7 linked regions of the Kluyveromyces lactis genome follow. The protein of the gene in region 2 purifies or fractionates together with the protein of the main gene of each other region. This does not show direct contact. Links are inferred from orthologs where the notes say so. Each region holds a gene or a part of one and is shown on either strand. Other genes may lie near its edges. The genes, in order: NOC4, UTP20, KRE33, UTP6, UTP7, NOP58 and RRP9.

Evidence for each region.
Region 1: the proteins of UTP20 (region 2) and NOC4 purify together in Saccharomyces cerevisiae (affinity purification with mass spectrometry; 8 studies listed by BioGRID, with this or other methods). This does not show direct contact. The link is inferred for Kluyveromyces lactis from reciprocal best matches to the Saccharomyces cerevisiae genes UTP20 and NOC4.
Region 3: the proteins of UTP20 (region 2) and KRE33 purify together in Saccharomyces cerevisiae (affinity purification with mass spectrometry; 3 studies listed by BioGRID). This does not show direct contact. The link is inferred for Kluyveromyces lactis from reciprocal best matches to the Saccharomyces cerevisiae genes UTP20 and KRE33.
Region 4: the proteins of UTP20 (region 2) and UTP6 purify together in Saccharomyces cerevisiae (affinity purification with mass spectrometry; 3 studies listed by BioGRID). This does not show direct contact. The link is inferred for Kluyveromyces lactis from reciprocal best matches to the Saccharomyces cerevisiae genes UTP20 and UTP6.
Region 5: the proteins of UTP20 (region 2) and UTP7 purify together in Saccharomyces cerevisiae (affinity purification with mass spectrometry; 4 studies listed by BioGRID). This does not show direct contact. The link is inferred for Kluyveromyces lactis from reciprocal best matches to the Saccharomyces cerevisiae genes UTP20 and UTP7.
Region 6: the proteins of UTP20 (region 2) and NOP58 purify together in Saccharomyces cerevisiae (affinity purification with mass spectrometry; 4 studies listed by BioGRID). This does not show direct contact. The link is inferred for Kluyveromyces lactis from reciprocal best matches to the Saccharomyces cerevisiae genes UTP20 and NOP58.
Region 7: the proteins of UTP20 (region 2) and RRP9 purify together in Saccharomyces cerevisiae (affinity purification with mass spectrometry; 5 studies listed by BioGRID). This does not show direct contact. The link is inferred for Kluyveromyces lactis from reciprocal best matches to the Saccharomyces cerevisiae genes UTP20 and RRP9.

What each region holds. Positions count from the first base shown.
Region 1 is NC_006038.1:952,973-956,184, forward strand, and holds NOC4 (ribosome biosynthesis protein NOC4), read left to right. Parts: upstream 1-1,146; coding exon 1,147-2,712; downstream 2,713-3,212. Other genes in the region: PPT1 (protein serine/threonine phosphatase), read left to right, coding at 2,976-3,212. UniProt on the Saccharomyces cerevisiae protein: Involved in nucleolar processing of pre-18S ribosomal RNA and ribosome assembly. Has a role in the nuclear export of 40S pre-ribosomal subunit to the cytoplasm.
Region 2 is NC_006041.1:1,547,840-1,551,818, reverse strand, and holds the start of UTP20 (Utp20p), read left to right. Parts: upstream 1-1,179; coding exon 1,180-3,979. Other genes in the region: KLLA0_E17447g (resistance to Congo red protein), read right to left, coding at 1-198. UniProt on the Saccharomyces cerevisiae protein: Involved in nucleolar processing of pre-18S ribosomal RNA and ribosome assembly.
Region 3 is NC_006042.1:2,272,077-2,276,129, reverse strand, and holds the start of KRE33 (ribosome biosynthesis protein KRE33), read left to right. Parts: upstream 1-1,253; coding exon 1,254-4,053. Other genes in the region: transcription factor NDT80, read right to left, coding at 1-394. UniProt on the Saccharomyces cerevisiae protein: RNA cytidine acetyltransferase with specificity toward both 18S rRNA and tRNAs. Catalyzes the formation of N(4)-acetylcytidine (ac4C) at positions 1280 and 1773 in 18S rRNA.
Region 4 is NC_006038.1:119,427-122,539, forward strand, and holds UTP6 (snoRNA-binding rRNA-processing protein UTP6), read right to left. Parts: upstream 1,866-3,113; coding exon 501-1,865; downstream 1-500. Other genes in the region: chromatin-binding transcription regulator ADA2, read left to right, coding at 1-407; YML6 (mitochondrial 54S ribosomal protein uL4m), read left to right, coding at 2,438-2,476, 2,645-3,113.
Region 5 is NC_006039.1:804,121-807,688, forward strand, and holds UTP7 (Utp7p), read left to right. Parts: upstream 1-1,391; coding exon 1,392-3,068; downstream 3,069-3,568. Other genes in the region: KLLA0_C09240g (dihydroorotate dehydrogenase 2), read right to left, coding at 1-663; proteasome regulatory particle base subunit RPN2, read right to left, coding at 3,257-3,568. UniProt on the Saccharomyces cerevisiae protein: Involved in nucleolar processing of pre-18S ribosomal RNA.
Region 6 is NC_006042.1:801,123-804,540, reverse strand, and holds NOP58 (RNA-processing protein NOP58), read left to right. Parts: upstream 1-1,382; coding exon 1,383-2,918; downstream 2,919-3,418. Other genes in the region: DGK1 (diacylglycerol kinase), read left to right, coding at 1-709; U4/U6-U5 snRNP complex subunit SNU66, read left to right, coding at 3,278-3,418. UniProt on the Saccharomyces cerevisiae protein: Required for pre-18S rRNA processing. May bind microtubules.
Region 7 is NC_006038.1:970,261-973,921, forward strand, and holds RRP9 (ribosomal RNA-processing protein RRP9), read right to left. Parts: upstream 2,205-3,661; coding exon 501-2,204; downstream 1-500. Other genes in the region: KLLA0_B11055g (uncharacterized protein), read left to right, coding at 1-42; chromatin-binding protein CTF4, read right to left, coding at 2,570-3,661. UniProt on the Saccharomyces cerevisiae protein: Involved in nucleolar processing of pre-18S ribosomal RNA. Required for efficient pre-rRNA cleavage at sites A0, A1 and A2, and biosynthesis of 18S rRNA.

The sequences.
Region 1 (3,212 bases), on a different chromosome or scaffold from region 2:
TGAGCATCAATTCTTTATACTTTTTCCAAAATTTTTCACCAGAGCTTGAATCGCCGTATTCTTTTTTCTTTCGAGATATTGAAAATGACTCAGTATCAATTGCATATCAAAAGAATATGACAAAGCAGCAGAGAAACGAAAAGTAACGAAGTGAAAATGAAAATTGGTGCCAGATTCTAACTCTGATTCATAGTTGATTCATTTGTTCCCGCTCCGACTTGTCATATTCACGATACCATCGTATCACGGCATTTTTTTCTATCTAATATTTACGTTTACGTTTACAGTTAGTTTAGTTTTTGAAATGAATCGCACAAGGCGATTCATATTAGCAAGAAGCAAGACTCAAACACACAAACTCACATCAAGTCTATACATGGGATGACCTTCCCAAAAAGAATCAGAATTTTATAAAAAGTGTCCCAAATCATTCAAAGAATGTAACAAGATTATAAGGCTTGCGAGGGCACCACATTCTCCATTAAAACCATGAACAGAAAATAATTCCCATCCACGAAAGAATTGTAAGAATTAAAAAAGCGCAAATAGTATCATCGTCTTCTTTTAAAACTTGGAAGGTCATGTGGATTTAAGCCCAAAAAGAGTAATACAAGTAAAGCCTATCAAAGTTACATCTCTTCTACATCACCAATTGTGTCTTGTAATTTCTTGGTTCATAAATCTTTCTCTTATATATGATGAAATTCGGGCTAGATCATTTTATACTAATCGTTGAAATTTGTATGCTGTTAGGGCTCATAGGCTGCCGTGAACTGGAGGATACGCACCCCCTGAAGGAACGAGCATCAGTGTGCGTATTCAAGGTGATGCAGGCAAGACTTGACTGACAACAGAATGGTTTACCACTCTAAATTATATATTTAATGTCGCCATTGATAGCTAGTTTATTAGGAAATGCGATCACGTGATAAGAATAATTTCTTTTCAATTGTCTTCTACATTGCAAGAATCTCTGAAAAATTTGGAATCAAGAGATGAGATGAGATGAGATGAGATGAGATGAAGTCGAATAGGAAACGTTAAGGTAGGATATTCTCACCGTTATAATCTGTTTGATTACTCGCAATAAATAATTGGAATTCACATATAAAAGTTTCCCAAGGATTCAGACAGCGATTAACCAAGATGCTCTCGAAGGAAGAGATTAAGCAAGTTTGGAAGTCTATTAGCACCGGCAATGATAGAAAACATTACAACTCGTTGGTGAACCTAATCCATGGGTACAATGAACTTCTAAAGGAAAACGAATTGTTGCACAATTTGGAAGATGATTACCGTTATATGACCATTGCTTTGAGTCAGATTTTCATCAAACTTTTTGAGCGTGGTCAATTGATGCCTCATCTTGCATCCAATGCCAATGAAAAGAAATTCTTTGAATGGTGTAAGAAACTATATTTAAATTATAAGGTTAAGTTATTGGCTATCATTACATCTTTGCATGAAGTTAACTCGTTGAGTTTAGATTGTTTGGACTCATATATGAAAATGCTTCACCATGAATCGATATATTGGGCTTCGAAACCAAATAGTCCTTTCTTTCCAAATAAGACTTTAAGATCGTTACTAGTGGCTCTTTTCCATTGTAACTTTGAAGGTGATATCGGTTTCAAAGATGGTCAGAGCGAGAATCCCGTGTTTAATCTATTTGTGGAAGCCTATTATAAGAAGAATTTCGATATTCAATTCTACACACAATCAGAACTGATATCGTTGTTACCAGAACTTGATGGCCAAACATCTGACGAAATTTTGATGTCTAAATGGTTGGCTTTATGCAACAACGATGTTCAGGGATCACCAGACTTGGAAATATTCGTATCTGTGCCCCCACAAGCCATCGAGAATGATGCTAAGTTTAAATCCAACCTCGAAACAAATTGGTTGCACTGTCTAAATTTAGCCAACTTATCCAGTAGCCAATATAAAACTGTGCTTTTAGTGCTACACAAGAGAATTATAGTATGGTTCCATCAACCAACAAAGCTTATGGATTTCCTTACCGACTCTTACAACCAAGGTGGTATCGTTTCAATCCTTTCATTAAATGGTTTGTTTGAACTTATGAAAAAATACAACCTAGAATATCCAAATTTCTACTCAAAACTATATCAGCTTCTAACTCCAGAAGTAATGCACGTTAAGTACAGATCAAGATTTTTCAGATTAGTGGACACCTTTCTATCTTCTACACATTTATCCGCACAACTGGTAGCGTCATTCATCAAACGTTTGGCACGTTTATCCGTATCGGCACCACCAGGTGCTATTGTTTCTATAATACCATTCGTGTACAATCTAATCAGAAAGCATCCTACATGTATGATTCTATTACACGATCCAGAATACATCGACTGCGATTCAAAGAAAAGGCAAGAATATCTAGATCCATTCAACAATGAAGAAACCAATCCAGAACTTACAAATGCTCTTTCCTCCTCAGTATGGGAGCTAGAAACGCTAATGAATCACTACCATCCAAACGTAGCCACTTTAGCGAAGATTTTCCAACAACCTTTCCAAAAGTTAAGCTACAACATCGAAGATTTCTTAGATTGGTCTTACGATTCACTTTTGCAAGCAGAAACCAATAGAAAGCTGAAGATCCAACCTGCTCTTGAATTCGAAAGGTTTGAAACAATTTTCGAATCAGGTTCTGATTCAGCATTCCTACCCTTCATAAAATGGTAAATACATAATTTCAAGTAGAAAACTTAAGTAGTTCAATTCCAAATTGAGTACTTTCTTTCACTTTCGCAAATCTCTTCACATTACATCTCATCACATCGCCGTAATATTGAAACATCGAGATGAAAAAAATCAACAAGTCAACATCAAGAAGAGAAAGACTCACATCAGAAAAAACTTTAAAATGGGCTCCGTTTATCGGTCTTGAGGACTTAAAGGCACATACCATACCAGTTGGCTGCTTTTTTACCACTACTATTGAATAAATGACTGAGGAAGTGAAAGCCTGTAATCCAGAGAAAGCCTTAGAGCTGAAGAATGAAGGTAACAAGTTCGTGAAGGAGAAACTGTACGCAAAGGCAGCTGAGTATTATACAAAAGCCATCGAGCATGATCCCGAGAATACGATCCTATATTCAAACCGTGCGTTCACCAACCTAAAGTTGGATAACTTCCAAAGTTCTTTAGACGATGCTAAACGTGCAATTGAATTGGATAATAAC
Region 2 (3,979 bases):
ATAGTTTATTCTTATCGTAGTGATGACAAATGCCAGTAAGATGAACATGAATATAACGAATATTACCCACCGTGCCCATTCCCAGTGGGAGGAACACGAGAGACCCCAGCAGTTGTTATCAATATCAGCAGATGTAGTGGTAGCACTTTGAACAGCGCTGACAACACTGGATGGCGTAGATGTAGTTGTGGTTGACATAGCAGGCGAAGTAAGAGCAATATTAGAACCCGGAAAAGATATACTTCCCTTGTTTATTCAATTAGTAAGTTCAGGAGTCCTGCTCTTGGTGTTGGGTTAGCCCTCTTTGTTTTCCGATCCTTTTGATCGAAGGTCTTGTATATCAACAGACAAAAAAGGGGACGAGAAGCGACTTGTAACAAAAAATCCAGTGGGAAATCCTCCTTTCAGCGATAGCTTCGTGTGCAGGTTGGATTTCAAACTCCTATCGACTGCCCTCTGGAGTCCTGCTGGCATATCCTTGTTGCAGCAAGAGTAGCGAGGAAATCTGATCGCGAATCATGACAAATTTCATTTAAAAACGACTATTCCCCATATGCAAATATATATCAGTATATATAATATATCAAGAGACCGATGGAGAGAAATACTGGAAATTTAAGAGAAAGGATATACCTATTTTACCACGAATGTCCAGAAAATGTTGCAGAGCCTCAAATATAACCAAGTTGAGTTCCAAAATCAGCACTACTTCTGCGCTACATAATGTTTACCAATTTTTGTATAATGAGACGATGGAGTTTCTTATTAGTTGAAGTTCTATCATTACCTCGCGATTCTAGGTTGGATACTCTCAACTTATATATTGTAGCGGTTCTACTATTAGTACTCCCACAACTATCGTACCTTCCTGGCCCGTTAAAAACACCTCATAAATGATCAGTGCTGGCGGTCAGTCCTGTGGCCGTAGTCGTCCTCCAGATCGGCCCTGCGTAAAAAGAAACTGGATTTCTTCACGTTCCATTCTAGGTAAAGGGAAAATTTTCAGAATTTGGAAAAGCATGAAAACTCATCTCATCTCATCTCATCGCATAAACAACAAACACAAGAGGGTCTACACACAGTAACTGTCAATCACCAGTCATACAAGACCTGCTTCAGTACATTGATATAACATTGAGGACTAGTCTTGTTCTGTTTCCCATTTTAAAATAATCAACCATGGGTAAGCAAAAGACTACAACGAAATCTACCAAGAGGTATAGATACTCATCTTTCAAGGATAAGATTGATGATTTGAAGATTGAACCTGCTAGAAATTTGGATAGAAGGGTTCATGATGATGTAGAGACCTCCCATTTTCTATCCTCTTTTGAACACTGGAAGGATATCAATTTGAGTGGGAATTTCGGATCCTTTATGGATTCGGTAGAGAAATTGGTTCAAACTTTGCCTCAACTTTTGTACCATGAGGATGAAATCTTTGCGAATTTGGAGCAATATATAGATAAACACGATGAGAGATCTTTACAGCCGTTGTGTGATCTCTTGGCTCAGTTCTGTCATGATTTGGGACCTGATTTCATGAAATTTTATGAAAGGGCGGTTACATGTTTGATTAACTTATTGGAAGCTGCCACTGAATTTGAAAACTCAAACGTGTTCGAATGGGGGTTCAATTGTTTGGCATACATTTTCAAGTATTTGTCACGTAGTTTGACTCAGAATTTGACGCCCACTTTCGACCTCTTATTTCCGTTATTGTCACATAAGAAAGAATACCTCTCCAGATTCTCCGCTGAGGCTCTATCGTTTCTAATAAGGAAATCTCCACAGAAACATTTGGCCACTTTTGTCACATTTTCGTTCCAAAAATTGTGCTTGTTAAAGAATGATAATTTTTATGACGGTTTGCAAACTTTATTTGGTGAATCATTGAAGAGTACTTCCGAGGCATTGCATTCAAGATCAAATATAATATTCCAAACTCTTCTGCAAATCGCATTCGAGAAAAATTCAGACATAGTATGTGTCTCTTTACTTTGTGACATCATTCTAGATATCACTAGACACACTTCTGCGGAGAATATTCAGAGTTTATACGATTTGATCCTTGAATTCTTGGACGAGAATTTGAACGGATCTAGTGCTGCTGTTGGTAAAACGTTGAGAATGTTATCTACGCTATCGTTTGCCGAGAGTGGTAGAAAAGTACCAAGTTGGGAAAAGTTATCTGGTGTTCTACGTAAAGCCACTCAACATGATAGTCTAAATGAATCACATGCAGATCTAGTGTCGTTTACATTTGCCATCGTCTTACGTAATGCTGACGTTAAAACGCTAACTTCTCTGCATAAATACATGTTCGAACTCTACTTGACGAAATTCTCAGCTCATTTCATTGAATTCTTCAAGATTTCTATGGATATCGATAAGGGTAAAGTGCTTTCTTTCAACGGGTTGAAATACTTGCAGAAATACGTTAATAACTGCTGGGCAGATGGTGCTCAGAAGATTGCATTGTTCCTTTTAGAATCGGAATCTTCACAAGATTTGGACTTGGTAAATCATCTCTCTGCACCGGAATTCGCAACCCAGTTGTTGAAGGATATCAGCGATGCTAATGTAAACGATGAACAGGAAATTTTTTCTGTGTATTGGAAACTTATAATATTAAAGACATTGAAACAAGAGGATGAGGAAATCATTATGCATTTGCTAGAGAGGGTTTTCCAAAAGGATGTGTTATCGGATTTTGAAAAGGATTTTGTTGGTTTCCTACTTCAAGCATTAACATTTAAAATCACTTCATCTGAGTCGGTCATGGCTGCAAAATTATTGAATATTCTAGTTCCGAGAATTATAGAGCTACAGAACAGTAGATATTTTATTGAAGGTATTTCACATGTTTTATCATATTTGGAGGACGACACTGATATTTTGAAATCTTTATCAAAGATTTTACCCATATTAACAGATAATCTATTACTTCCGGACAAAACCATCCGTTACGAAACCCTTAAGTTTATAATATCTGTTCTAGAAAAGCAAGGCAACTCAGTTCCCCAATTATTTTATGATCTAAGGATTTTGGAAGAAATCCCTCTGGATCTTCATACAAGCCGTGACATTACTCTCAGAGTAAGGAAACTAGGTGCAGACTTTGCCAAGATGGAAGCTGAGGATTTATTGACTAATGTCTTTTTCAAACATATGTTTGGGCTTCTAACTGTCAGATTCTCTCCAATTTGGGAAGCTATCTATGAAATAATTCCAGAAGTTTACACCAAAAACCAATCCCTTGTGTGGAGTTTGGCTATGCGTTTCCTCACTGTTCTTGATGAAACAAAGGACGTCAAATATTATAGCATTTCCAATAACATTGACCTTCAAGAACCATTCTGGACCGTTAGTATCAATAGAATGAATGACTCCATCCTTGCTTCTGACAAAGTATTTAAAAAATACTCTGCTAGCGATTCAACTATATTGGATGTTTTGGAGGAAAGAAGGAATTCTATGGTATATCCATCATTGATTAGAAGTCAGATATTCAAAGTTTTATTGTCGATTCCTAGTTTGGCAGAGCGTCATTCAAGGGACATAGTTCCTTTTTTATTTAATGAAGAAGAATCTGAAGAAATTTTTATCACAGAAGATCAACCAAGTATGGATGTACTAATTCCAACAGCATCACAATGGACTGAAAGTGATAGAAACCTTTTATTAAAGCTCGTTGGCAAATTCAAAAATATCAAATCCATTTACAAATCAGAGGAAGTGCACGATAGGTTAATGGCACTTTTGAGCAGCAGAACTACAGAAGTTCAAAAATTAGCTTTAGATGCGTTGTTTTGTTACAAGGAATCTCATATAACCAAGTACAGAGAAAACTTGAAGAACTTATTGGATGACACTTTATTTAAAGATGAAATTACCAAGTTTTTAGCAACCGATGACACCAAAACTATCCAAAAGCAAGATGAAGAAGCTGTTATGGGTTATATTGTGAGAATTCTCT
Region 3 (4,053 bases), on a different chromosome or scaffold from region 2:
ACGCTTGTTTCATGAACTCGATATGATCAGTCCCCGGTGTGTCAAATGAAGTTACCACGGTGAAATAATTTCTTTTATAACCAATCCAATCGTCATCTATGAAATCAAACCCTCGATCAATCCGAGGCTCCAATTTGATTTCTTGAATCTGTCCAAAATCGTTCAATATCTTGTGATTGGGCACCACTGGCGTAAAGCCTGGGCCTATTTTGAACTGCAATGTTGACCTTGGAGCAATACGAACTTTTCTCTTGTCAAAATGACTACTTAATGACCCGTCAGCGTTCCTAAAAGTTTTGATCACGTCCCCGTCAGCATTATCAAGTGTTTCCAAAAATTCGTTCTCATCTATATTGATATTCTCATCGTTCAGATGGTCCAAATCCTCCATCATAGCAAGTTTGATCACATAAAACTATACTCTGTTCCTATTAAAAGAAAATATAGTTAGCTCTCACTCTCCTCCTGGCTATTGCTATGGAATAACCGCCGAGCTTACCTGAATGACCACGAAAAAATAAAACCAAAATAAAACCTAGGAATCGTACGTTCCGTATAAGAGATAACCACAACTGCGCTTGTTCAGGTAAAGAAACAACCTTATAATCGAACCTCGTTCTGATGTCAGTTCTTAACCTCTTATCTTATTCATCGGATCTATTTCATAAGAATATTGCCCTTATTCCTTGTGACACAAAAATACTGGTATTTATATAATGTTAGTTTTTCCCTTTTCGTCAGTCATGAAGAAAACTTTAATTAATACCCATGAAAACTACTACTGAAGTTTAAATATGAATTTAAAATATTAGTCGACATCACATAATGGTGCATTATGCACACGTAGTCATTTCTTGAAATTAGCCGCCGAAATTACACTGCGCATGAAATTCATGCGGGTAACAGTATATTTTCATCAAATAATTCCGGGTAAGTAGTATCTTTTCTTTTCTCTGCCTAATTTTTTTTTTTTTTTTTCATTGTCTTTTTACTATTTCATCGTATTAGGTAGGAATTTTATTTCGAGATGAGATGAGATCAAATGAGATGAGGTGGTTTGCTGAGAAGCTATCTGAGTATTACGAGACGTTTATTTCTCCCCAAAATACCTGATTACTGTACTTCGTTACTACAAAAAAAATCATTAAAAACACTAACTCTTCCCAACGGTCGAACTTCCAGCGAAACGTAACTGTCATTGTTTGTTGTTAAAGAGTGTGTTCTTAAAACTTTAAACCAGAAGTTAGATTACGATGGGTAAAAAAGCTATTGATTCTCGTATCCCAGCTCTCATCAGAAATGGTGTTCAAACAAATCAGAGATCATTTTTCGTTATCGTTGGTGACAATGCTCGTAACCAGCTACCGAACTTGCACTATTTAATGATGAGTGCTGACCTCAAAATGAATAAATCCGTGTTATGGACGTATAAGAAGAAACTCTTGGGTTTCACTTCACACAGGAAGAAGAGAGAAGCAAAGATTAAGAAAGAGATCAAGAGAGGTACCAGAGAGATAAATGAACAAGATCCTTTTGAAACTTTCATCTCTAACCAAAACATTCGATACTGTTATTATAAGGAAACTGAAAAAATTTTGGGTAACACTTATGGTATGTGTATCCTACAAGATTTTGAAGCTTTGACTCCAAATTTGCTAGCAAGAACCATCGAAACCGTTGAAGGTGGTGGTATCATTGTTATCATGTTAAAGTCCATTTCCTCTCTAAAACAGTTATACACTATGACTATGGATATCCACTCTCGTTATAGAACGGAAGCTCATGACGATGTCGTGGCAAGATTCAACGAAAGATTTATCTTGTCCTTGGGTTCGAATGAAAACTGTTTGGTAGTAGATAGTGAGTTAAACGTTTTACCTATATCTGGAGGAAAAAACGTAAAACCACTTCCACCAAAGGATGATGAAGAAATTTCACCAAAAAATCAAGAACTAAAAGAATTGAAAGTGTCTTTAGAAGATGTTCAGCCTGCGGGATCATTAGTTGCTCTTTCAAAAACGGTTAATCAAGCTCATGCAATCTTGACCTTCATTGATGCCATTTCAGAGAAAACTTTAAATTCAACTGTAGCATTGACGGCAGGTAGAGGTAGAGGTAAATCAGCTGCTCTAGGTATTTCTATTGCTGCTGCTGTATCCCATGGTTACTCCAATATCTTTGTAACATCTCCTTCCCCTGAGAATTTGAAGACTTTATTTGAGTTTATTTTCAAAGGATTTGACGCTCTAGGCTATCAGGAGCACATTGATTATGATATCATTCAGTCCACCAATCCAAGCTTCAACAAAGCCATAGTCAGAGTAGACATCAAGAGAGAACATAGACAGACCATTCAATATATTATTCCAAATGATTCTCATGTGTTGGGACAGGCAGAACTTGTTGTCATTGATGAAGCTGCCGCAATTCCACTACCACTTGTAAAGAAGCTTTTGGGTCCGTACTTAGTGTTTATGGCATCCACTATTAACGGTTATGAAGGTACCGGTAGATCTTTGTCTTTGAAATTGATTCAACAGCTAAGAACTCAATCCAACGGTACTGGCCGTGAAGATTCCGAAACAGCACTTGTTTCCAGAGATTCAAAGAAACAAGAAGTTCAAACAAGTGGCCGTTCTTTGAGAGAAGTTGTCTTAGATGAACCTATCAGATACGCTCCTGGTGACCCAGTTGAAAAATGGTTGAATAAATTACTTTGTTTGGACGTTCAACTAATCAAAAATCCAAGATTTGCTGCTAGAGGCACACCTCATCCATCTCAATGTAATTTATTCATCGTCAATAGAGATACTCTATTTTCTTATCATCCTGTTTCTGAAAATTTTCTGGAGAAGATGATGGCTCTTTATGTCGCATCGCATTACAAGAATTCTCCTAACGACTTGCAATTAATGAGTGATGCACCTGCTCATCAACTATTCGTTTTATTGCCTCCCATCGATCCAAAAGATGGCGGCAGAATACCTGATCCCTTAGTGGTCATCCAGGTCGCATTGGAAGGTGAGATCTCGAAGGATTCTGTCAGAAATTCTTTGGCAAGAGGTCAAAGAGCTGGTGGTGACTTAATTCCATGGCTAATCTCACAGCAATTTCAAGATGAAGAATTTGCCGGTTTGAGTGGTGCCCGTGTTGTTAGGATTGCAACCAATCCGGAATACGCCTCTATGGGTTATGGGTCTAGGGCTCTGGAGTTATTGAAAGATCATTTCGAAGGTAAATTCACCGATTTGAATGAAGATACGGTACAAAAGGACTACACAATCAAGAGAGTCGATGACAGGGATTTGAAGAAAGCAGACCTCTTGAAAGATGAAATCAAATTAAGGGATGCAAAGACGTTGCCACCATTGCTTCTGAAACTCTCAGAACAAACCCCTCACTTTTTGCATTACTTAGGTGTTTCATATGGTTTAACAAAATCTTTACATAAGTTCTGGAAAAACAACGGATTTGTCCCAGTTTACTTACGTCAAACAGCGAATGATTTGACTGGTGAACATACATGTGTTATGGTTAAAGTTCTTGAAGGTCGTGAATCAAAATGGCTGGCAGAATTTGCCAAAGATTTCCATAAAAGATTCTTGTCTTTATTATCGTTCGACTTTAAGAAATTCACTGCCATCGAAGCGTTAAATGTCATTGAATCTGCTAAGAAGGGTGAAACACTAGACCAAGACTCGGAGGGCAGATCGTTCCAGAATAAGGTTTTAACAAGGGACCAATTGGATTCCATCTTTTCTCCATTCGATCTAAAGAGGTTAGAAAGCTATGCTAACAACTTACTGGATTATCATGTCATTGTTGATCTTCTACCAATGATGGCATTGCTATACTTTAGTGGAAAGCTGGGTGACGGTGTATCATTATCAAGCGTACAATCGTGTATACTACTTGCAATTGGTTTGCAACACAAGGGCATTGATGACATAACGAAAGAGTTGAACTTACCATCCAATCAAACTATTGCCATGTTCTCCAAGATTATCAGGAAATTCACCAATTTCTTCAGGGAAGTTTTAAGCGAGTCTATTG
Region 4 (3,113 bases), on a different chromosome or scaffold from region 2:
AACGTGATAAACAAGCAAGAATTATGACATTGGAAAGATTTGGAAGTCAAGTGTACTCTTCTTCTTCATCTAGTAACACTGCCCGTTATAGAGCTACTTCGGCCCATAGATCGCAAGCTGATTATGCTCAAAATTATAACGAAGGAAGTGGACGTAAGAAACTAATGACTATCAGTGACATTCAGCATGGGGCAGATTTCCAATTATTATCAGCTGAGGAACAGCAGTTATGCATAACGTTGAAAATTTTGCCAAAGCCTTACATTGCCATCAAAGAGGTACTATTCAGAGAATTAATACGGACTGCAGGTCAACTCTCGAAGAAACAGTGTCGTGATTTATTGAATATCGAGGCAACGAAGGCCAACAGAATCTATGATTTCTTCGTTTCTCAGAATTGGGTTTAATTAGAGTTATAAAACTGTGGAAATATTGGCTCCACTGCTTACCTTACTACTTAATGTCAAATATGTACATAAAAATGTGTATACAGTGTCTCATTACAGTTTCTTGATAATAGCATTCAAAATAGCATACTTCGAATCAGATTTATCCATATTGGATAATAGATGTTGGGTCAAATAACCAGAATATAATGTAGTAAGTTGTTTGGCATTCGTCTCATCTAATTTGCTGATGTATGCAGAATACTTTTTGAAGGACAATTGGAGACTGTCGATGTTTAATTCGCCGGCAGGCATGAATTTGATATTTAATGTAACATCATGCAATAATAATTCCACATATTTTTCTGGCATACTTTTCTCAAGGGAAATATTATAATGTTCGTCCTTTAGCCATTGCAATACGTGATTTATCAGATATTCTCTTTTTAAATCTTGAAATTCCGAAAATAAGTTGATATACTCGAGGCATCTATCAAACAGGTAGGACATAACGTTTCTGCTGAGCTCTTCATCGACTTGCGAATTGGTAACGGCGTAGTATCCTTGATGTTTCTTGACAAAAGATGTGCCCAGATTCTTCATTGCGATATCGAATATAACCAATGCGACATCACCACGTAGTGCTGGATTAGTTTCTTCTGATCCAAGCATATTCATATCGGCTTCTGGTAACTCGTTTAGTTTATCTTTCATCTTGTCACCAGTACTTGGAAGTTGAATTCCGTCTTTGTCAAAGTATGCTTCGTCATCTGCAGTTTCTTCCAGACCTGTTACATTACTGGAGTTTCTTCCTTCCTCTTGCTGTTGTAGCATATCTAGCTCTTGTTCCCTTTCGTTGATTAAATTCATCACTTTTCTTCTATTTAACAATTTTGTCACGAAATTCAGTTCGAATTTAACGTACTCGTACCAGAGTTTAGAAGCATCTGGATTAAATCTAAGACCAGTTTGAAAAACATTTCTACAGCTCTTGAAGTTTGCGTGCAATTCGTATTCATATTTAGCACATGATATCCAAACGTCAACGTTTGTTGGATGTAATTTGAGCAATTGATTGTAGACGTTTTGAATCTTTTTATAAGAGGCATTTGTACCCTTTGATTTTAAATGATTCAAATATAAAGACCAAAATTTCAATTTTTTTGGGAACTTATTGCAGCCTCTTTGGAAAATATAGAGAATCCTCTGCTGTATGGTAAAATCCGAAATACTATTTGATTTGTTCGATTGCAAGATACGTTTAACACGTTTCATTCTTAATGCATCGACATTCTTCTCGTATTCAATATATCTGATGTAATCACTTATACTTGAACCTCTCGAACTCAATCTGTGTTCAAAATCAGTCCTTTTCTTCATAATTTTGTTTACTTCATTCTTAGTGAATAACTTCTTCTGCACTAAGTCATCAACTTCTGGAATACATTGTTCCAAGTAATATCTTGTTCTGGATGACATCGCCTTACTCTGGGTAGTTTTATGTTAAGTATTGATTAAAGTGTAATCACGGAGACTCGTATCGCTCGCTTACTGACAAAGGAAACGACTACTGGCTTTGTTCATGCTAAATAATACTGAGATGAGATGAGATGAGCCTTGAAGCTTTTGAATTTTTTTGGTTATATTGATTTCTTTTTCATATAATCAGTCAGAATAAAGTCCTCCATTTAAATAACCATCGATGAATAACAAAAGGACAAGTACAATTGTTGTTCTGCTAGCGTAAATCGGATTTTTTTTTACTGCAAATTGAATCCGCTTACATATGACATTCGGGACTACCATAAACTGCGACCCTTAATGTCGTTGTATGCTTTCATACAAGATGACAGTTTTGTTGATCGTTAATTCGGGCAATTTAACATTACCCGGATATTTTACATGGTAGACAAATTTTCGATAATCAAAAATCTGAATATGAAATAGGTTGAATACTAAAGATGATTGATTTGTTTGCGGTGATCAGACATAGGAGTGTCCAATTGATCCCCTTTGTATCGAGACATTAAGTCAGTGTATCAGAATCAGCCATGTTTTCCAAGAGACAAGGTTTGAATTTGTGCAAAAACGTATGTCAAACCCATTTTCATCACTGTTGCAATGGTAAAGCGCGGGCTTTCCTCAAACTGCATGATGATATCCTTCCGCATTAAGCAGTTATATCACCTACTTTTAGAAGATCGATTTACTAACTATTGCTCGTAATTTTTTGTTACTCTTTTCCCTATTCTCTACAGGTCCGTTACGTTTCCAACAAACCCCTTCCTAATGCTAGTCTACCGCCAAAATATACCTTAGCAACGGTTCGTTCATTCCCATCATTAGAACCATTGACATTTGCACCAGTGCCAACCTCAGTATTTGATGCTCCATTGAGAAGAGACTTACTATGGCGTGCTGTTGTTTACGAAAATGACAGTAAACGTGTTGGGTCTTCTAACCCCCCAGGCAGAAGTGATGTTGGTTATTCGAGAAGAAAGATTTTACCACAAAAGGGATCTGGTATGGCCAGAGCTGGTGACGCTAATTCACCAATAAGGCATAACGGTGGTAGAGCTCTAGCAAGAACTGCACCAAATGATTATACCACAGCGCTCCCAAAGAAAGTGTACTCTTTAGCATTCAATAACGCACTAAGTCATCAATACAGAAACGGTAACGTCTTCGTCATCGGAAGTGGTGACGGAATCTCCGAAACAAGCCAGG
Region 5 (3,568 bases), on a different chromosome or scaffold from region 2:
ATTGACCCCCAACAATTTGTCTTTGTATAAGGACAAGTTTTCAACGGAATTGTCCTTAAACATGTAACTGTTGATGAAACTGGTAATACGGGATTGTAATGTGTTGACAACGGTGTCATGGCCGGATGAATTGAAACCGTATCTGTTGATAACAGCATCATCCAAAGGTAATCTAAAGAATCTAGGTCTTGGGTTTCCTGGTTGTGGTAATGGAGTCACAGAACCAATCTCTATATAACCGAATCCTCCGGAAAGTATACCGTCGATGGCATCACCATTTTTATCCAAACCGGCAGCACAACCAATTGGATTGGTCAATTTCTTACCAAAAATGTTCACATTCAATACCTTATCATCGTTATCGAACCATAATCTTGGAGCCAACCCATTCTTCAAGAACCAGATACCTAATTTATGCCCATCTTCAGCATCTGGCGTTACAAGTCTCAACATCGGGCACAAGACGTACTCATGGAAAGCAGACCTCGAATTGGAGAAATAGAATCCCGCAAATGAACCAATGGCTATCCCAACAGTGTACTTCAAAAGCTTAGGGCCAGAAATGCCTGCTTTCAATGGGACCATGCCATTCTTGACAAAGAACTGCGATTGATTTAGCGTAAAAAGTTTCTTGCTCAAAATACGTGGGAACCCACTATTCATAGTTGATAAAAGCAAAATACGCGGTATTCGGAGTGACCTCTACTTGCCTATTCCAATCTTGTATAACAAGAGAAAAGAACAACGATACACGATCTAGCTCTCTATTCATTGCGGGAGGACCAAAACATTAGTTCAAGTTCTTCATTTTCATTTCATTTTTCAGTTAAGACTCGACGGAGTGTTTTCCGGAAACACATCTGTGAGGAACAAAAGTATGTGACTAGCAGATGCCTGGTGCAATTAGCTCAGAGGTCACCATTGCATATTAATTTGTACTTTGATTTAATTTCTTTTAGATACCTATCATATGTCTAGATGCATAGAAGGTAGTATACTACTTTACACCGGTACTACAGGATGCAGATCAAGTGAAAAATACTCAGGGAACTACTCTTAACTACTCTTTCAAGAAGAAATGATTGCTATTTTGGTTAGAAATCGTTTGGACTCATTGGGTTTGGTATTTATAACTGAATTTCCCCACGTTTTGGGCATGTACTATGCGCCGATTGATCTATTTATCAGTCATATACAATTCTTACTTGGTAATGTCTATCATTCTTCAGCTCAACTTAAGGATTTTTTCTTTTTTTCTCGAGTATCCAATATCGAAAATTTTAAGAAACGATGAGATGAGATGAGCTTCACAATATAAGGTTCTGCAAGTTTACTGCTACATCTTCTGATATCAGGTATCACTTCACGAGAAGCCGAATCAATATTCAATAATGGTTGCTAAGAAAGGTAGTAAGTCACAGTATAGTGACCTACAACGGAGAGACAATCAGGACAAATTTGAGAGATCGAATAACGATGATGATGCCAACGGGTCTCACAAGATGCAGAAGAAAACCAAGGATAAGAAGTTAAAGGCAGGATTGAAGCGTATTGATCAGAAGTATAAGGAAGCGGTACTCTCTACTGCTGCTACAGAATATCTTTTACCCGAAGAGCATGGTTATTTAGAAGCAGAAGATGAGATGGAAAAGACGTTCAAGTTCACACAGGCTGAAATCAAACACCATGTTGACGCCTCCATGGCCAATAAGGCATTGGACTTGAAATTAAACGATTTTGGTCCGTACCGTGTAAATTATTCCAGAAATGGTACGCATATGCTTATTGCAGGTCGGAAGGGCCATGTAGCATCTCTTGATTGGAGGAAAGGTGAACTTCGTGGTGAGCTAAATCTCGGGGAGACAGTGCAAGCAGCAACATATTTGCAAAATGAACAGTTCTTTGCAGTAGCACAAAAAAAATACACGTTCATTTACGATCATGAAGGTGTAGAGCTGCATCGTTTAAAGCAGCACATAGAGGTCAAACATTTAGAATATTTACCATATCATTATCTCTTGGCAACAGCAGGACAAACAGGTTTTTTGAAATATCAAGATGTTTCGACAGGTCAACTAGTATCAGAGATCAGAACTAAACTAGGTCCTACTACAGCGATGGCTCAGAACCCTTGGAATGCAGTAATGCATTTGGGACATAGCAACGGCACAGTCACTCTATGGTCACCATCAATGCCATCACCACTGGTAAGACTATTATCATCTAGAGGATCAATAACAGGAATTGCTGTAGATAGACAAGGTTATTATATGGCCACCACTGGTTCCGATAAATCTTTAAAGATTTGGGATATCAGAAACTTTAAAGAAGTACATAGTATTGAGAACATGCCTACGCCCGGTACTAACGTTGCAATTTCAGATACAGGTCTACTTGCAGTATCAAGAGGGCCTCATGTAACAATTTGGAAAGATACGTTGAAAAGTGGGAAAGCTGCTAGACCGTATTTCACCTCTAGCGGTTACAAAGATAGAAATACTCCGTATATGTCTCATTTATTCGCTGGAAATAAAATAGAGAACTTCCAGTTTGCGCCATTCGAAGATTTGCTAGGTGTTGGACATCAAAAGGGTATAACCAATTTGATTATTCCAGGCGCAGGGGAAGCCAACTACGACGCACTAGAGGCCAACCCATACGAAACAAGCAAACAGAGACAGGAACAAGAAGTGAGATCATTATTGAATAAGTTACCTGCTGATTCTATAACATTAAATCCAAACACAATAGGTACAGTAGATTCTCGTGCTTCTCAAGTCAGATTAAATGCAAAGGATCTTGCAATTATCTCGAATGCAGAGCAAGAAAAATCCAAACTAAACAAAGACATTCCTGATGCCAGACCTGATGTTAAAGGTAAGAACTCCGGATTACGTGCGTTCCTACGAAAGAAAACTCGTAATGTTGTGGATGAAAGGAAGTTAAGGGTACAAAGACAACTAGAGAAGGAAAAGTCTAGCCGCCAAAGAAAAGAAAAAATTAAGAAGGGTGAACTTGCTGATGATCACAAAGACCTTGTTGATGAAGCCTTATCAAGATTTTCTTGAATCATCAAGTAGTTATCAATATGTATACTTACATGAACACTTATATAATCTGTTATTATAGCCGGCTTAGTATCGACTGTTGCAAAAACATGTTTGAATTATTTGCATATAGATACGACTTAGTTTGAGGTGATTATTTACTGTACATTATGAAGGATGACCGCTATTGCTAGGACCTAATTTCTCGATTAAAATTCAAGAGAATCCTCGACTTTAAATGAAGATGGTAATGGGGCATATATATCTTTTGTTTGTCTTACGGTCTTGATTAATTCTAGTGGTTCTTCAGGTGTCTTATCCTCAACGATAATGACACCTGAGTTTCCTCTGAATTTGCGAACAGGTACAAAACGGCTATCTTTCGCAAAAGATATGAATTTGAGTTGCTGCGGAAGCACACGGGTGAGGTTTTCAACATCATAGCTCGTTGTCGTGTATTTGATCTTAGCTTCTTCAGTATTCTTGGCCTCTTCCTTCTTTTTTTCCTCCAGTTCCACCTC
Region 6 (3,418 bases), on a different chromosome or scaffold from region 2:
AGAAATTCATTTAAAGTCACATGAATGGTTTGGTGATTTCATTACAAAACACGAAATACCACGGAAACTATTCCATTCATCTATTGGTTTTATTACCCTATATCTTTACACTCAAAATGTTGATTACAAGAAAGTGAAATTTCCATTGATAGTAGGATTTACTGTCGTATTTATTTTAGACTTCATTCGTCTACGTTCTCCATTCTTCAATAAAATGTATTGTCGTTGTGTTGGGGCATTGATGAGGAAAAAAGAAATTCATACGTATAATGGAGTCCTATGGTACTTATTGGGCCTGACTTTTGCGTTCTCCTTTTTTAGTAAAGATATCGCGTTAATCTCACTGTTCTTACTAAGTTGGTCAGATACCGCTGCGTCTACTTTCGGTAGAAAGTACGGACACCTTACACCAAAATTGGCCAGAAATAAGTCTTTAGCAGGTTCCATTGCAGCCTTTTCCGTTGGTCTCATAACTTGTTACTCATTTTACGGATTCTTTGTGCCTCATTATAACTGGGTGAACAAACCAGGTGAAATCTCCTGGACCGAAGAGACAAGCAAACTAAACCTACTACAACTTTCGCTATTAGGTGGTTTTGTCGCAGCTTTGAGTGAAGGTATCGACTTGTTTAACTGGGATGATAACTTCACTATTCCAGTTCTATCCGCCATTTTCATGACAGCTGTCATCCGCATTTTCAAGAATTGAGGAGAGCGGTGCGTAGAGGCACCATTTACCATTACCTAGTTTGTATTTTACTTTTCGTGTTCCCTCCTCTTACCTTTACACTGAGCAGGCTTTTATCAAAACCTTCCTCACTGATGATGTACCACTTTCAATGATCGCATATGAAATTCAATCCCTTTGAATATTTGACTATAACCGGAGAACTTAAGATAGACGGGAGGAAATGACAGTTAATGATCACATTTCACACCTACATTTTTTGTATACAAGTCAATTGATTTGGCACATATATTCTACATCTCACCTTATGTATAGACTTGAATAAATTAAAAACTACCAGCAAATATTGTTTAATATACAACGTCTAGTTTGATGCTTTTGTGAACCGTATTGGCCATTGGAATGTGCTTGGTCTCGATATATGAAGAACAAACAGTGCAGTTCTTTATCTGGTCCCTTTATAACACGTGATTTATATATGTGGTGTCCAGATGTGTTTTCTTTTCATTTCTTTTTGAAATTTAACTAACATTGAAAAATTTTCGACAAGCTCATCTCATCAGTATTGAACTACAGAATGGTATTAACGTTTCGATTGAAGAATTAAGCACATCCATCATATCTACGATATCTCAAAGAACCCGTTGAATAATTAGGATCATCTAGCAACATACACATAAAAGACTTTTTAGCGATGGCCTACGTCTTGACAGAAACCTCAGCTGGGTATGCTCTTTTGAAAGCATCTGACAAGAAGATCTATAAGTCCTCTTCTTTGATTCAGGATTTGAACAGCAGTGACAAGGTCTTGAACCAATTCAAGATTGCTGCTTTCTCTAAATTTTCATCAGCTGCAAATGCTTTGGAAGAAGCTAACTCTGTGATTGATGGTAAAGTCTCTTCCCAATTGGAAAAACTGTTGGAAGAATGCAAGACCGACAAAAAGGCCACCTTAGTTGTTTCTGAAACTAAATTGGCAAACGCTATCAACAAGTTGGGTTTGAACTTCAACGTTGTCTCTGATGCCGTCACCTTAGATATTTACCGTGCAGTCAAGGAGTACTTGCCAGAACTTTTGCCAGGTTTGAACGATCAAGATCTTTCCAAGATGTCATTGGGTTTGGCTCACTCCATCGGTCGTCACAAATTGAAGTTCTCTGCTGATAAAGTTGATGTTATGATCATCCAAGCTATTGCTTTGCTAGACGATCTAGATAAAGAATTAAACACTTACGCTATGAGATGTAAGGAATGGTACGGTTGGCATTTCCCAGAATTGGCCAAGATTGTTACTGATTCTGTTGCTTACGCCAGAATAATCTTGACCATGGGTATTAGAGTTAATGCTGCTGAAACTGACATGTCTGAAATTTTGCCTGAAGAAATTGAAGAGAGAGTCAAGACCGCTGCCGAAGTCTCCATGGGTACTGAAATTACCCCAGTTGATTTGATTAATATCAAGTGTTTAGCCGAACAAATTGTTGAATTTGCTGCCTACAGAGAACAACTTTCTAACTATTTGTCTTCAAGAATGAAGGCTATTGCTCCAAATTTGACTCAATTAGTTGGTGAATTGGTTGGTGCTAGATTGATCGCACACTCTGGTTCTTTAATCTCTTTGGCCAAGTCTCCAGCTTCCACCATCCAAATCTTGGGTGCTGAAAAGGCTCTTTTCAGAGCATTGAAAACTAAGCATGACACTCCTAAATATGGTCTATTGTACCACGCTTCCTTGGTTGGCCAAGCATCTGGTAAGAACAAGGGTAAGATTGCCAGAGTTTTGGCTGCTAAGGCTGCCGTTTCTTTGCGTTACGATGCTTTGGCTGAAGATAGAGACGATTCTGGTGACATCGGTTTGGAATCCAGAGCTAAGGTAGAATCAAGATTGTCCCAATTAGAAGGCAGAGACTTGAGAACCACACCAAAGGTCGTCCGTGAGCACAAGAAGACTGAAATCACAGAGGCTAGAGCATACAACGCAGATGCTGACACCGTGTCTTCAGCTGCTGCTCCTGCTGACTCTGATGATGAATCCGAGGACGAGGAAGAAACCAAGGAAGAAAAGAAATCTAAGAAGGATAAGAAGGATAAGAAGAGAAAGAGAGACGATGATGAAGAGTCTAAGGAATCTAAGAAGTCTAAGAAGGAGAAGAAAGACAAGAAGGAAAAGAAGGAAAAGAAGGAAAAGAAAGAAAAAAAGGATAAGAAATCTAAGAAGGAAAAGAAATAGATATAGTATTCACATTAAAACCCCACTCTTTTGCATTAAATCTCTAATAACCTCGTATAAATCTGTTCCATTACATACGAACATACTATGTGTGTACCTCTGTAAATTAGTCTGTATCAAATTCAAACAAAATATAATAATTGAATTATTGTCATACGCTGTACTCTTCTTCTCATTGTCATCGTCAATGGCTTTGATAGTTACATCAAAATATTCACTGATGAAAATGTTGAAATATACAATTCTTAAATTCGGACAAGTTGGCGATGAGATGAGGCAGAAAGAAAGCAACAGGATTTGATAATAAGGATATTCGACCACAATACGAATTCTACGAGGCATACAGTTACTTCAAAGCCATGGGTAAGATTACTTCTATATCTTTGGAAGAAACAAATCGAATTAGGGCAAGTTTAGGTTTGAAGACTATACCTAGGCCCACTGAGACGTCAACAGAATCAAAAGAAGGTGCATCTGATACAAATAGGAAAGTACGAAGA
Region 7 (3,661 bases), on a different chromosome or scaffold from region 2:
TTGATTGGTGCTGCCGCTGGTATTGCTTTGGCCTTCCTATGATTCCTTTACTTTGGGAGTTGTTTGCTTTCTCTTGAGACGATTTGTGTTGTTTATTACTCTTTCGTTCCTTGCTTGTTTACAAGAACATGAGGAACGCTTAATACTTAAAATAAAAAAATCCATTTGACTTTTCCCGATCTTTTCCTTTAATCCTTTGAGCTATTCCTTTGATGTTCCCGCATTTAATTCTCTACGTCGCTGGCTATGTGAATTAAATCTTATCTGTTCTCAAATTCGTTCTCTAACACCTTATTTTATCATGGCTGACAATGAAAGACACTACTCAAAATCATGTCACAATGATTTCTATTAATCCTTTCCTAGTTCTCTACATCATTGATCGGTTAGAGCTCTCTATATATAAATATATACCCTTGTAACAATTACTAATGTATTTCGGCTTTATTAAAGTATTCTTCTTTTTACTATACAGGAGATTTTTCTATTGATAAGATTAACTAGAATCCGGTTTGTTCTATCACAGCAGAAAAGATACCATTTCTTGCACCTGGTACCTTGCTAATCCATCTTCCTAATCTATGTTCTTTACTGACACTTGCTAGAATTCTGAAGGTTTCTCTACCGGTTCTGCCGGATTCTACGGCTTGAATTTTGGTTACCACACCTTTACAGTTAGGTAAGTCTCCTAATAGTTCAAATGCTCTTAAGTTCTCATTGATTTTCCATACCTTCAGGGTTCCATTCCAGGATCCTGAAATGAAAATATCAGAATATGGAACGGCGTATAATGATGTTATCCAAAATGGTTGGGCAATGGATCCACCTTGTAATTGTGCATTGCGTAATTCATCGCTCACTTCCCCAGAGATTTTTTTATCCTCAACTAATGGTACAACACCATGAGCAGTTCTAACGGTGAAAAGAGGTTTCTTTTTGGATAAAGACCATAATGATATATTTCCGTTATCAGAGCCAGTAACGAAATGTGAATCATCTACCATGCTAATACAATCGATACTTCCCTCGCCATAAAAGTGAGGTGGGGTCTGTTCATGCATATCTTCTCCGCCTTCTGCGGACAATTGTTGGTTCTTCAACCATTTTTTCCTCAGTCTTTCAGGATCATCACCACCTCTGAATGTCAATCTGGATTCGTCAGCTATTTTCCACAACATAGCGGTACGATCCCTGGACCCCACTGTCACACAACGCTCCATATTTAGGGCAGAGATATCAATAACCAAATCCTGATGACCGTATAATATTTCCAGTTGAGAAAACTGGTTAATAGCATACGTTCTGATTTTGTAATCGGCACATGCTGCGAATAATTGATCCGAATTCTTCTTGAATGCTAATCCTAAAACCTCACCTCTACGATCTTTGGTTGGAATAATTTTCACAGGGGCTAAAGATTCGGTACTCCATACTATCAGTTTACGGTCACGACCACCACTAACTACGTATTTACCATCAGGAGAAGCTGCCACCGTTAAGATTTCATCGTAATGACCTTCTGTCACATTCTCGTACTCAAATTTACCTTCCGGTATGTATTTTCTACCACCTTTAACATATTTCACTTTTTTTGGTCTAGCTTTGAAATCAGTAACATCATATTTTGTTAATTGCATGTCCTTGCTAACAGTGTAAGCAAATATTTTGTCCTTGCTCTTATTTTGAACATCTTTATGAGAAAACTTGTTAACTGAGGGTTGATAACACGAAATACATGTTAGATTATTTTCGCCTACTCTTGTAAACGTTGTTCTGGATTCACCTATCAAAAGCTTATTTGAAATCCATCTATAGATACGCCCTTGTTGCTCTGCAACATCTTGTTTCAATCTGGAAGCAATGATATCTCTGTCCAAGTCACGAGCATCAAAGTTATTGTAATCCTCTAATTGTGTTTGACGGTCCTGTTCAGTGCTTGCGGTCGCCAGAGAATCGCCAATATCTTCAGCTTCAGCCTTTAAATTCTCTAAATATTGTTTAGCCAATCTTCTTCTCTTATCAGCAGGGTTTTCGCCTTCAAACTCGTCTTCAGATTCCAAGTATTCTGCTACCTCATCGCCATCATTGGATTCATCTTGGACATCACCTTCATCAGAAGAAATATCCGTGATTTCCTCATCTACCTCTTCGACAGAATCCCTATTACGTTTTTTTGAGACATTGCTTGTACTAGATCTAGCCATGGTGTACTTGGTGGCCCTCTGGTTGCTGTCTCGTCTGGTTTAGTTGCAGCTCATCGCCTGTTTCAATGATGTTGGTTCAGATGTACAATTTTTTTTTCAGTATCGCCAATTTGTAAAAGAAACGACACCACTTGAAAAGTGACAAAAATTGAAGAATGCATGAACTTGCAACAGAATTAAATAATAGTTTGGAAGACTTTACTCGATTCAACGACCTATATGCCTGATTTCATTGGTATTGCTAGAATTACTTAGTTTAATTTACATTACGGCAGAAAATGAACGTCAATGCACGGATCGGAAAATCAATTATTATTTAAACTGACAATACTTATTCTAGTCCAGATAAGAAGAACAGGGGATTATCATATATTATTGAAATCGGCCTCAAATTTGGCCTCAATAATCGTGTTGATTTTTCTTACTAGTGGAAGTAGTTCAGCTCTTTCTGCAATTTTTCTTGCAGCAGATAGGGCCTTATCTTGCTTCAGTTCGTTGACGATTGAAACGGCCTTGTTAACATCTTGCTCGGAACAGACATAAGCTAAAAGTCGTAGTAAGGACTTATCATGTGTTGCTACCAGATGCTGTAATAGATCTGTTTCATTTCCGTATATCTCACCTTCATTATCCATCGTGTCTTTTAGTAAATCACTTAGTATCTTGGAGCGTAGAAATTCCTCTTCTGCTGCTAGGTACATTGGAATTTCGACACCATTACTGTTATCAATATCTTCCACATCGCTGCTGTCGTTACGATTATCGTCTTGTGTCTTTTGAAGCTCGGATTTTGATACAACTGGGATTCTGACTTCCATTTCTGTAGGAACGGTCATTGGGATATCTGGCCATGCGTTCTTCCCCTTCAATAATAAATACGAAAATGTATCGAAGTTTAATCCTAATGGCCAAACGTGGACGTTCTTCGGATGCTTACCCCCTGACATCTTCCAAAGTTCTAAATTGGTATCAACTATGGGTACCCATCTCGCGTCACTACCACTTCTCCATTTGGACAGAATTAACAAAACATTATCATGACCAAACATACACGGATCACCAAAGCTTGAGAAGAATAAGGATTTGATACCTAGGGGGTTGAATGAATTGAAAATATCATCGTATTTTAAAAATTCAATGTCTTCATCATCATTTCCCGGCTGATTCTGTTGAGGCAACGTTATTGGTAAGGGAGATTCTCTTTGGAAGTATTTATTGCCAGTTTGCGGATGTTGTTGGAACATCGAGTAAGTAATACCATGATATTGTGAGTAATGAATGGTGAACACTTTGTACTCATGAGCAGACAAAGCAACAATAGGTGACATTTTTTCTATTGCCAGTGGTAACCCAAAATCGTTATAAGTACGAAGATATCCGAGAGATGTTCCTACAATTACACGTTTAGGAGTACAGGCAATTGAAGTAACTCTTTCTTTGGAAAGTAAGGGAATCTT